Xenopus tropicalis: one gene and its partners. The protein of the gene in region 3 purifies or fractionates together with the protein of the main gene of each other region. This does not show direct contact. Links are inferred from orthologs where the notes say so. Each region holds a gene or a part of one and is shown on either strand. Other genes may lie near its edges.

Region 1 (3,653 bases), on a different chromosome or scaffold from region 3:
ATATAGAATATAAATGTAACCGTATAATGCTGATTAGTAATTCAGATTCTCATTATATGGCAGCTCTGGGACCAGTGCAGTTTGCATCAGAATTTTATAATTAGACCTGTAGCATCAGTTTGACAGGCCAGCCTCATTTTCAGTTTGATCATTTGCGACAACCCCTAAGCTTAGCTTTTCAGTAGCTGCCAAGAAAACACTGATCGTGTGCACTGTCCAGGACAGTTCTAACAGAATCCAAGATGGGAAGCTCCTGTGGCAACTGTAAAGACCTATATACTACTATACTACTATATACTACTGTAGAGATACTAAAACTTGAAGCTAGTACAGTCAGTTTAGTAAAAAAAAAAAAAAAGTATAAAATAGCCATATTCATCTTTAGGGTTTAGTTCTCCTTTAAGGGTGTTGGGAATGGAGGTTATGTTCCATGAAGATGCTCCTCTAAAGCTGGCCATAAACATACTGATAAGCTTTTCATCCTATCTTCAGTTCAAATATGTTTGTCAAATACTTCTGGCTGATATCCTTTATCAGTTTTTATAGGTTGGTTTGTCAAAGGGAAGGTAAAGCCATAGCCAGTGGCATAACTAGAGATATATGGGTTTTGCTGGATTTAATCTCAGGACCCCCACCCACCCCCAACTGGCCACGGCTCCTACTGTTTTTGATTTCTGTCATTTGAGATGGTAGAAAGGTGGATGCACTTTTTATGGATACAATACAATATCCGTCCTTTGGCCCACAGGCTCAGTGGTCATTACCAGCAAATATTAGTATATGGCCACCTTAAGAATTCCGTATAATTTCTGTTCTAAAGGGACTTAAGGCATCATTAAAATAGGTAGCAGAAACAAACCTATCAAGAAATGGACCCATAGGGTCACACAAACATATATTTCAGGGTACTGTTTCATCCATATATGTAAATCGGGGTCTTACTCCGGATCTGGGACAACCTTTTACCTTAAATTGGTAAGGTATGTGCCCAGGTCAGGATGTTGTGCAACAAGCAGGCTCAAAGTTCTGGGGCAATGTAACATGCCTGACTGATTAGTCTCTGTCTGTCTGTGTGCTCTTCCTTACTCCTTGTGTAACACATGTTTCTGTTGCCAGATCAGAAGTGCAGAGGTATTTATCTGCTTCGTAATTCAATAACATTGTTTGCTTTTTTTCTCACTTTAAAAGCAGGCTACCCCAAAGCAGAAGTTTAAGGTTTTTATAGTTATGCTGGTAAAAGTCTGGCCTGGAGGCAAACTGCTTCTAAATATTCAGCCACAGGAATTTAAAATACCTAAACCAAAAGCTGTAGCATGAAGACTGAAGTCCAGGGAGGTTTACTTGGAGGTGCACTTTTAGATTTTGAATACCAACCACACAGACATTCCAGTGCCATCCTAGCTGGCATCTTTAAAATATCATCTCAAAAACTGAAAATCATTTTTGATCTTTGATCTGCCTGTTGGACCTGTACCTCCAATAAAAGAATAACTTTATTTTTTTTTTTACATCTGGCAGTATTGTGTTGGTACTCCTGTGTGGTACATGATGTTTTCTACTTTCACCTTATAAAGCATATTGAGTTATGTAGGTGTCTTTTAGCTTATGGCACAAAAAAGTGGTTGATATTGCAAAATTATTGCTGAATTACTAAATACATTCTAAGTTCTTTGTGAAAACATGACCTTTTTTTACTGTAACAGTAACATCTGTCCCCAATGTAAAACACCTGCAAACTATCCTTTCCTGCCACCCAGTTTCCCTTGTGGCTTTGCTTTGTTATACATCCTCCTGTTTTGGTGGGGTAGTGATTTTTCACCTGACTCTTTTTAATGTTTATCATTGCACTAATGCTTTATTACTTCTTTCTACTCTTCATTTTCTGCTGTCCTGCTTTTTCCCCCCAGTCTGTGGAAAACGCTATAAAAACAGGCCTGGTTTGAGCTATCATTATGCCCACTCACACCTTGTGGATGAAGAAGGTGCCGGGGCAGAAGATAAGGAGGATTCTCAGCCTCCCACTCCTATCATGCAGAGACCAGAGGAACAAAAATGTAAGTTTAGGCATCTACACAGAATGCAGAGGAAATGTTTGGGCAACTTCAGAAAACGAAGCACCATGTATGCTTTCCAACCGGCAATTCACTTTACTGTTAGTGGGAAAGCATTTTGGGGAGATTAGTCGCCCATGGTAGCGTAGATTAGGGCACCATTGTTTTAGGTGTTGCTTTCAAAAGCGATTACAAATTCATTAATTACAAATAATTCAATAGCAATTACAAATACATTTCATATCATTAAAAGTATATATCAAAAATTGCTTAGGATTGCATTACTTAGGTTATTCAAAATAGTTTTTTTAAGTTTGTTCCTTCTTGTTCTCCTTTTTCAACATATTTGATGCTTTTATCTTTTCCCAGCCAAAAAGGGCCCAGATGGTCTTGCACTGCCAAACAATTATTGTGACTTCTGCCTTGGAGACTCTAAGATTAACAAGAAAACAAACCAGGCTGAGGAGCTTGTGTCCTGCTCAGACTGCGGCCGCTCTGGTATGTTAAAAGAAGACTCTAGTATTTGATGAAGACTTAATACTACATGATGCATCTGATTTTATTTTTAACTGGAAAGCTTTTGCATTTAAAAGTTGAAGGCCCAAATGGGCTGTCCTAACACTCATAGGAATTCCGAACTATAATGTTTTTCAGGAATTCTCAATTTAAATATTCTAAAATGGGATATTGTGATGCATATATATGTTTAGAAGCTATATAAATGTGCATTCTGCTAATAATTTAGAGCAGTTCTTGGCTAACTGCGGGCCTCATCCACTTAGAGGGGCATGGGGGATCGGGGAAGTTGGGCAATTTCTGAGTAGCAAGCCAATTAGGGTGAGAGCTTTTTTTTGCACTTTAGATACTCCTGAAATCCCCATTGAAGGGTTAAGTGAGGAGTGAAGACTTACTTGCAGCCCTAGATATTCTTAAAACTGAAAAACGGGTTCATTTGAAACCTTGCTATAAGCTAAGTGGGTTGTGGACCTCAAAATGAATGTTGGGGATGAACTTTTAAACCACTTTGCCGGCCAGTTAACAGTGGTAGCAAAAAGCCAAATTTACAATTTTTTATTTTTCTTCTAGTGCAGAGAGTGCAATAGCACTTTTCTGCACTAGTGATGTGGCACCACCTTTACCTTCTCCGACACTAAAGATTAAGCGCTGTGCGGGGGGACAGGATTGGGGCACCATCATTTGTTTTGCTTTTTTTTTTTTTTTTTTTTTTTTTGTACATCCATAGAACAAATGTATACAGCAACATTGTACAGCAAATTAACTCCCTTCAACATTTGGCAGCTTGCCTTCTAAAGTTCCCCTATGATTTGAGTTATTGATCCTCAGGTCAGAAATATCAGATTAGCTTGCTGAGATTTACAGCCGGTTGCTATGCACATGTTGCAGAGGTCAGCAGAAATATGGTATTTTTTAGTTTTTGGATGAACGCAGATATTGGATACATATGTATGCAAAATATTCACTTACATACTATGTTGTGGACACAGGGCACCCTTCCTGTTTGCAGTTCACACCCGTAATGATGGCGGCAGTTAAGACTTATCGCTGGCAGTGCATAGAGTGCAAATGTTGTAATATCTGCGG
Region 2 (3,753 bases), on a different chromosome or scaffold from region 3:
GTGGAACTGGTAGGAAAAGGCAGAGTGGGCACAAGTAGAGTAGTGCTGACAGAGAAGGTGGCACAGGTAGGACAGGAAGGCAGCGAGGGTGAGTACAGGTAAGGGAGGGCAGGCAGAGAGAGTGAGTGCAGGTAAGAGAGGGCAGGTAGAGAGAGTGAGTGCAGGTAAGAGAGGGCAGGTAGAGAGAGTGAGTGCAGGTAAGAGAGGGCAGGTAGAGTTAGTGCAGGTAAGAGAGGGTGGGTACAGGTGAGAGAGGACAGGCAGAGAGAGTGTGGCTAAGAGAGGGTGGGTAAAGGTGAGAGAGGGCAGGCAGAGACAGTAAGAGAGGGCAGGCAGAGAGAATGAGTGTGGCTAAGAGAGGGTGGGTACAGGTGAGAGAGGGCAGGCAGAGACAGTAAGAGAGGGTGGATACAGGTGAGAGAGGGCAGGCAGAGAGAGGGAGTGCGGGTAAGAGAGGGTGGGTACAGGTGAGAGAGGGTGGGTACAAGTAAGAGAGGGCAGGCAGAGACAGTTAGTGCAGGTGAGAGAGGGCAGGCAGAGAGAGGGAGTGCGGGTAAGAGAGGGTGGGTACAGGTAAGAGAGGGCAGGCAGAGAGAGGGAGTGCGGGTAAGAGAGGGTGGATACAGGTGAGAGAGGGCAGGCAGAGACAGTTAGTGCAGGTAAGAGAGGGTGGATACAGGTGAGAGAGGGCAGGCAGAGACAGTTAGTGCAGGTAAGAGAGGGTGGATACAGGTGAGAGAGGGCAGGCAGAGAGAGGGAGTGCAGGTAAGAGAGGGTGGGTACAAGTAAGAGAGGGCAGGCAAGGAGAGTGAGCACGGGTAAGAGGGGGTGGGTACAGGTAGAGGAGGGCTGGCAAAGACGAAAGAGAAAGGGCAGATGACAAGGGGAGGAGGGGAAGAGAAACAGAGGGAGGAGAGACACAGGAGGAGGGGAGGGGAGGGAAGGCAGTGGGAGGGCAGAGATGAGAAAAGGAGGTTTGTTGCAAAACAGCTCTCTGGAAGTGATGACACCAACAGAAAAACCTTCCAATAACTTCCTATGAGCCGCCCGACAGCAGCAGGAAGGGGAAAGTGCTGAGCGCTCGGTTTGCGCCCCGGGAAACTACAGCCGGAGGATCGCAGCGCAGGGATTGCGCATTGAGAGCAGCTGTACGGGCACAATTATACGGAGAGAGGCTGAACCCCGCTGGGTTTCACTGGGGAATCCGGTTAGTAGTGCTGGACTAGCTGTAGGATAGCGGCTTTGTGCTGTACTTAGCGCCGGGCTTACACGCGTGTTACTGCTACGGGCACACAGGGCTACAGTCTGATAGGCATAGTACTGATACTAACACGAACTCTATAAGCTTGTATAACTGAATAGGGCAACACGTAGAGGATAAATATATACACACAATTTATGTATAAAATGTGCGTGTGTGTATATATATATATATATATATATATATATCAATCCAAATGGTGTCCGCACTCCAAGGCTCAATATTCTGCGGGGTGCATAGCCAAAATTATGTATATACAGAAAATAATCATCTGTGGCCAGCACACCCTTCAATGTTTTATCAAAAATTTATTGAAGATATATCGTTAAAATTGTTTAAAAGTCAAAGTGCAAACAAACTAGCCAACACACACTTTGCGGGGCTGCACAAGTAGCCAACACACACAGCCAAGACTGCACAACTAGCCAACACATGCAGTTCAAGGCTGTGCAACTAGCCAACGCACACTTTGCGGGGCTGCGCAACTAGCCAACGCACGCAGTGCGGGGCTGCGCAACTAGCCAATGCACGCAGTGCGGGGCTGCGCAACTAGCCAACGCACGCAGTGCGGGGCTGCGCAACTAGCCAACGCACGCAGTGCGGGGCTGCGCAACTAGCCAACGCACACAGTGCGGGGCTGCGCAACTAGCCAACGCACGCAGTGCAGGGCTGCGCAACTAGCCAACGCACGCAGTGCAGGGCTGCATAATTAGGAATTCTACATTATATGATTCATTAGGAAGGAGGTTGTTCACACAGAGTATATCCCTCTTGTATATACACAGCATTCCTTCACCTGTGCACAGTAGTGCTGTCTGCTGTTTAACACTCCATGACCTCTCGGGGAGGATTACCTCTACCATCTGGGAGCCCAATGAACATGATGCGGGGACCAAACCCTGGAGCATACAGACCCCCAATGGGGCCTTACCAGGTAACCATTTCCAATAGCAATGTATTGTGCATTTCCATCTTCCCTGTGCTAGATCACTTCATTTAGAATTTAGAACATTGTTTATCCAGTTTTAATTGGGCAGAGTCAGTAGGTCCAAGTTGCTGGGTCTGTTAATAGTGCCTGACTATCACATGCCCGTTTGTAGCATGTGACTAGCAGAATCCAATGGCATGAAAATGATTTACGCCTGAAGCATGATTGTGTTTTATATGCCATAGCTGCATCCAAAGTCAGGCACTAGTGCACAGAACGCTTGCATCTATAGAATTGCACATTGACTGTGCTACTGGCAAGCTGCTACTTCTGGTTTCCAAATCAGACTAAATGCGACTAAATGTTGAGCTGACTGATTTGTGACTTGTGTAGCACACCAGGCCCTTGATCTAATATTTCTAGAGCATTTTTCGGATGCAATTGTGATCTGAAGCAGTCATGTTCAGTTACAGCTCAGGTGACCTATTGAATTGCATCGCAGTTGTACAATCCAAAGGTAAAGTCGTTGGTGTAAATAAAGACTGTGGATGTTTCACTTTCATCCAGTATCTTTCTAAATTCTTTGTGTAATTGTGAAAAATGAGACATAACATCTTCATGTGACAATCAGTGCACATCATTATGGTCCCAGGTAGGCAGGAGGAGAGTATAGATAAGGCCTTGATGGTTGCTAAGCAGGGCCTAGATAATCTAGGATGGCTTGTGTAACCATTCCAAGAATAATATAATAATAGTAATCCTACATTTTATACAATGGTGCATATCATGGTAAACAACTGATCAGTTGATTTAAATCTACTTCACTTTATAATTGTCTTTTCACTGCATGTCACTGTGGTGTGTTCTGGTATCGTTCACTCCTTTTTAATTTTTCATTTTCATACATATTGGTATAGTTCACCAGCAAATGGCATGGTCCGAGTTTGCTGTTGATCAGTGTGGTACAGTTTGGTATAGTTCATCACTGGTTGTTTGGAGTATGGTTGAACTGGTATCATTCACTGCCTTTCAGTGTTGTGCATGCTGGTATAGATCACTTTAGGATGGTCTATTCTGGTAGAGTTCACTGCCTAGGAATGTGGTATGTTCAGGTCTAGTTCAACACCAGTCAGTGTGGTACAACACAGTTAAGTTCACTCTCTGTCAGTGAGGTACATGCAAGTATAGTTCATCACTGGCACCTGATACCATTGGTAGATGTGGTGCATTCTTGTACAGTTCACCATTGGTAGATGTGGTGCATTCTAGTATAGTTCACCATTGGTAGTGTGGTGCATTCTAGTATAGTTCACCATTGGTAGTGTGGTGCATTCTAGTATAGTTCACCATTGGTAGTGTGGTGCATTCTAGTATAGTTCACCATTGGTAGTGTGGGGCATTCTAGAACATGTCCGCACTTCCAAATGTGGTGCATTCTAGAACAGGTCAGCACTGGCAGATGTGGGGCATTCTAGAACATGTCCGCACTTCCAAATGTGGTGCATTCTAGAACAGGTCAGCACTGGCAGATGTGAGGCATTCTAGAACATGTCAGCACTTCCAA
Region 3 (3,753 bases):
CAATGGTTGCGTGAATCATATATTAAAATAGATATTAGTATTATCACTGATGTTTTCACTTGCACTTTAACCTGTTGTATTTGAGTTTGACAGGATACAGGCACCATGTTATTGCTATGTCCACAATGTTTTCATCATTATTTCAATAGGGCCAGTGTTCCCTGCATGTCTACACCATGCCACACCTTATCCACAACAAAAAAAACTATGGGATTATAAACCTTACAATGATGGTACTATGTGATACAACAGTGGGCCCTAATTTACTAATTATTAACTATGGGTTACTGAAGTTGCATTTCTGCAGTTATGTTAATAAAGAAGGAATGCTGGCCTCAAAGTGCAATTGTTTTTCCTCAAAGGAGATTAAATCCTCTTTCCCCCTGCACCACTTATTGCCATATTTGCACCTGCTATAAAAATGTAGAGTTGTTCAGTGTGGTTGACAGACACCATCTTACACCTCTATGGATCATCTTCTGTGAAAACTCTCAAAACTTTGCAAATTGAAATTTGTAATAAATGTTTGTAAATAAATAAATATGACTAAACTTGCATGTAAAGATCAGCTTGTTTGTCAACCAAATGTTGGATTGGAAAACTCCTGGTGGGCCCAGGTGTCAACAGGCCCTCCTGCTTCTAACCATGTCATGGTTAGTCCTTATTTTTGTATAAGAACAATGAGGCTAAATAGATGAAAGAATAGGTCATAGTATGTAAAGGAAAGTGCGCCCAGGGCTGCTTCTGACATGAGGCAAGGTGAGATCGATCGATCGTAAGATCGAGGTCGCCAAGCGAGCGGATCTTCTCCCGATATCCCCCCTATGGGTGGGCAATATCGGCTAATTTAGATCGAATTAAAATGACTGGTATAGGTGTCAGTTGATTCAGGGCCGATTTCAGGCCAGGCCCGTCTTTAGTGCCCATACACGGGTCGATAAGCTGCCAAATCAGTTTAAGGGATTGATATCGGCAGCTAGAATCAGCCCATGTATGGCAGCCTTTACACAGTGACCTAAACACAGGTATGTTGATTTAATATTAGGTATGTGCCATAAAATATCTTAATATGTACAGACACACACTGTGTAATGTTATGGCTGGAATAAAAAAAAATGGAGGCATTTTATTTTAGAAACTTAGTTCTCAAGTTTTTTTTTAATTGTTATGTAAACTTGTATGGATATGCAATATCCTAACTACTCAAATCTTTGTGGGGAAAAGGTGATCTATTGTCTTCCCTACCAAAACCAGCCCTGGAAATAAGCGCCTCTGTGCTACTGCTTCTTCTTGCAAATAAGTTGCTAAACTTTCATCATTCAGGTATTAGCATGAATCTCTAGGTGGTGCTGTGTCCGCTGTTTATGCTACATGTACTTAGTGAGACACACATACTGCTGGGTACATGTAAACACACACAAACTGCACGTGTACGGGGACACAAAGGAGAAATGTTTAATCGGGACCCATTCAAATATACATAGGAATACACAGTTACCTTTCAAGGTAATGAGACACGTGATGTTTCTATTTTACAAATGATTATAGCAGAACAAATGATCTATTTGAAACGCATAAGACTGTTTAGCTTCTACATAACTTCCCCAATCCACGTTCTGGTTACCTCCCTCCTTTGTCTCCAGCCCTATACAACCGCCCCCACCATTTTACTTGGCCCATCAGCCATTGCGCGCGTCCCCTCCCTCCCCTTCCAACCGCAGAGAATTATGGGCTATCATGGTCACAACAGGATCCTGAGTGTGGAGCTTGGATCCGGACTGAGGCTAGAAAACAAGCTGATAATAAGGTCCCCTCCCCCATTCCGGCGCTCCAGACTATCCTTTGTGCCGCTCGCTGACTAAACGGGTTGATAAGCGTGCATGCATGCTGGAAGGGAGGGGGCAACTGGAGAAATATGTCCTACGGTTCACACAGATATATGTAATGCAGAATCACACCGATAAATTACTTTGTGGCGTACAGTTGAGCGTTCCACGCACAAATATAGACGGCCGTTAAGTTTTGGCAGAAGAAATAGGTTATTTTATATACGGCTCAATTACTCAATGTGTGTCCTATGATTTTACCTACAAATAAATTATAATTGCGGTAATATAATTAAAACGTCCATAAATTGTTGTCTTAAAATAACATTAGAATGGAAAATCGCTTTAGTACGAAGAATGCGGCACCCACTTACAGCCATGTTCACATGTATGCTAGTGTGTGCCTATATACATGTGTGCACACATAGAGCACTCGACACACGTGACCAGCACGTTGCTTCGCAGCACAATGAGCTCAGTACCGGACGCACACACCTCATGACGTAGCAACGCTGTGACACGCCTTTTGGCATCACGTGATGCTTAGTGTTCGGCTTCCCGCGCTCCGCTCTGGGTCTTACTGCCTGACCTCTCCTTACGCTGAAGCCTATGGAAGACAAATGAAGAGCCCCGGGTCATTTACCCAGATCCGGGTTTTATTGTCCTCACCGTCCTCTGATTCTTTGTAAGCCTATGGGAGATAAAGGGTCCAATCTCTAAGATCCTGTCCTGGCCCTTGGTTTTCTATGCTTTAACTTAATTGATTCTATATTCCGGGCTTTACCCTACCCATGGAACTGATCTTCCAGTCCATAATTCACTTCGGGTTTTACTATCTTACCCAACCCCTATCCAGCTCCTGATTTTACTTTCTTCGGTGTTCAGCTCTGTGAGAAAAAAATCCAATCTCCTTCTCTCGCAGCCCCCTCTCTGTGTGAATGATTTAACTCCGAGCTTTGCTCCACTTGTCATTATGCCTAGGATCTATCTCTGACCTAGCATATCCTTTTGATCCAGTCCCGGGATTTTGATGCTACTAAATGTGAGTGACAGCCACCCAGCTCCGGGTTGCACTCCAGTCCCCTAGCTTTATCTCCCCTTGTGCCCGGTCAATGTGATCCAGCTCCAGTTCCTGTCTGTATTCCAGTTCCAGGTTTTGCAGCTTGTATCACCGTGTGAGTGATCCAGTACCCAGGCTTTACTTCCCGGTCCATGTGATCCGGCCCAGTCAACGATTTTTTTTTCTGTGCCTCGGCCCAGTGCAGGAAGCAAGTAGCCCGGTTCCTAACTCGTGTTCCAGTGCCCGGGTCTTGCGGCCTGTACCACCTCCAGTCCTGGACTCCAGCTCCGCGCTTTGCGGCCTGTCCCTCCTCCTCCTCCTTTCTCGGTAAAATGGCCTCTCCTCCTACTCTCTACCGCCTCGTGTCCGACTAAGCGGATCCCCCCTCCCCTCCTGCCCGAACCAAGCCCGATACCCCGGGAGGGGAGGCCTCCTCTATCCCCGTCCTTTTCTCTGTCCTCCATGGCCGCCCAGGTGGCCCCGGCCTCCGGCCCTAGTTTGGGGGGGACCCCGCCCGCTGCCGGCCCCGACCTGAAAAAGAGTCCCGGAGATCCCCCTCCTCCCTCGAACGAGTCACAGCAAGAGGCTCCGGTCACTGCTTCAAACGAAACGGACTCAACAGAGGCGGCCAATGGGACACGAACAGTGCCGGCCTCTTCACACCAGGAGCCTGGGGATCCGCCTGCGGCCTCCTCCGCCTCATCGCACCCGCCCGGTGGGTTCGGCTTCTCTCCGTACCCGAGAGGAGTTTTTCAGCCTGGCCCTGGCTTGGACTATACTCCTCCCACGGATGCCTATAACTCGTACCCGGCCTACCCTAACAGGGCCTACCCGCCGGGCTACCCCCCGCCTCGCCCGCCCGTCTCT

The links.
Region 1: the proteins of arid1a (region 3) and dpf2 purify together in Homo sapiens (affinity purification with mass spectrometry; 6 studies listed by BioGRID and IntAct, counting the BioPlex papers as one, with this or other methods). This does not show direct contact. The link is inferred for Xenopus tropicalis from reciprocal best matches to the Homo sapiens genes ARID1A and DPF2.
Region 2: the proteins of arid1a (region 3) and smarcd2 purify together in Homo sapiens (affinity purification with mass spectrometry; 7 studies listed by BioGRID and IntAct, with this or other methods). This does not show direct contact. The link is inferred for Xenopus tropicalis from reciprocal best matches to the Homo sapiens genes ARID1A and SMARCD2.

The regions. Positions count from the first base shown.
Region 1 is NC_030680.2:32,327,698-32,331,350, reverse strand, and holds part of dpf2 (zinc finger protein ubi-d4), read left to right. Parts: intron 1-1,907; coding exon 1,908-2,054; intron 2,055-2,420; coding exon 2,421-2,549; intron 2,550-3,556; coding exon 3,557-3,653. UniProt on the Homo sapiens protein: Plays an active role in transcriptional regulation by binding modified histones H3 and H4. Is a negative regulator of myeloid differentiation of hematopoietic progenitor cells. Might also have a role in the development and maturation of lymphoid cells.
Region 2 is NC_030686.2:15,740,135-15,743,887, reverse strand, and holds the start of smarcd2 (SWI/SNF-related matrix-associated actin-dependent regulator of chromatin subfamily D member 2), read left to right. Parts: upstream 1-1,175; 5' UTR 1,176-1,207; intron 1,208-2,046; 5' UTR 2,047-2,093; coding exon 2,094-2,195; intron 2,196-3,753. UniProt on the Homo sapiens protein: Involved in transcriptional activation and repression of select genes by chromatin remodeling (alteration of DNA-nucleosome topology).
Region 3 is NC_030678.2:77,694,241-77,697,993, forward strand, and holds the start of arid1a (AT-rich interactive domain-containing protein 1A), read left to right. Parts: upstream 1-1,438; 5' UTR 1,439-3,348; coding exon 3,349-3,753. UniProt on the Homo sapiens protein: Involved in transcriptional activation and repression of select genes by chromatin remodeling (alteration of DNA-nucleosome topology).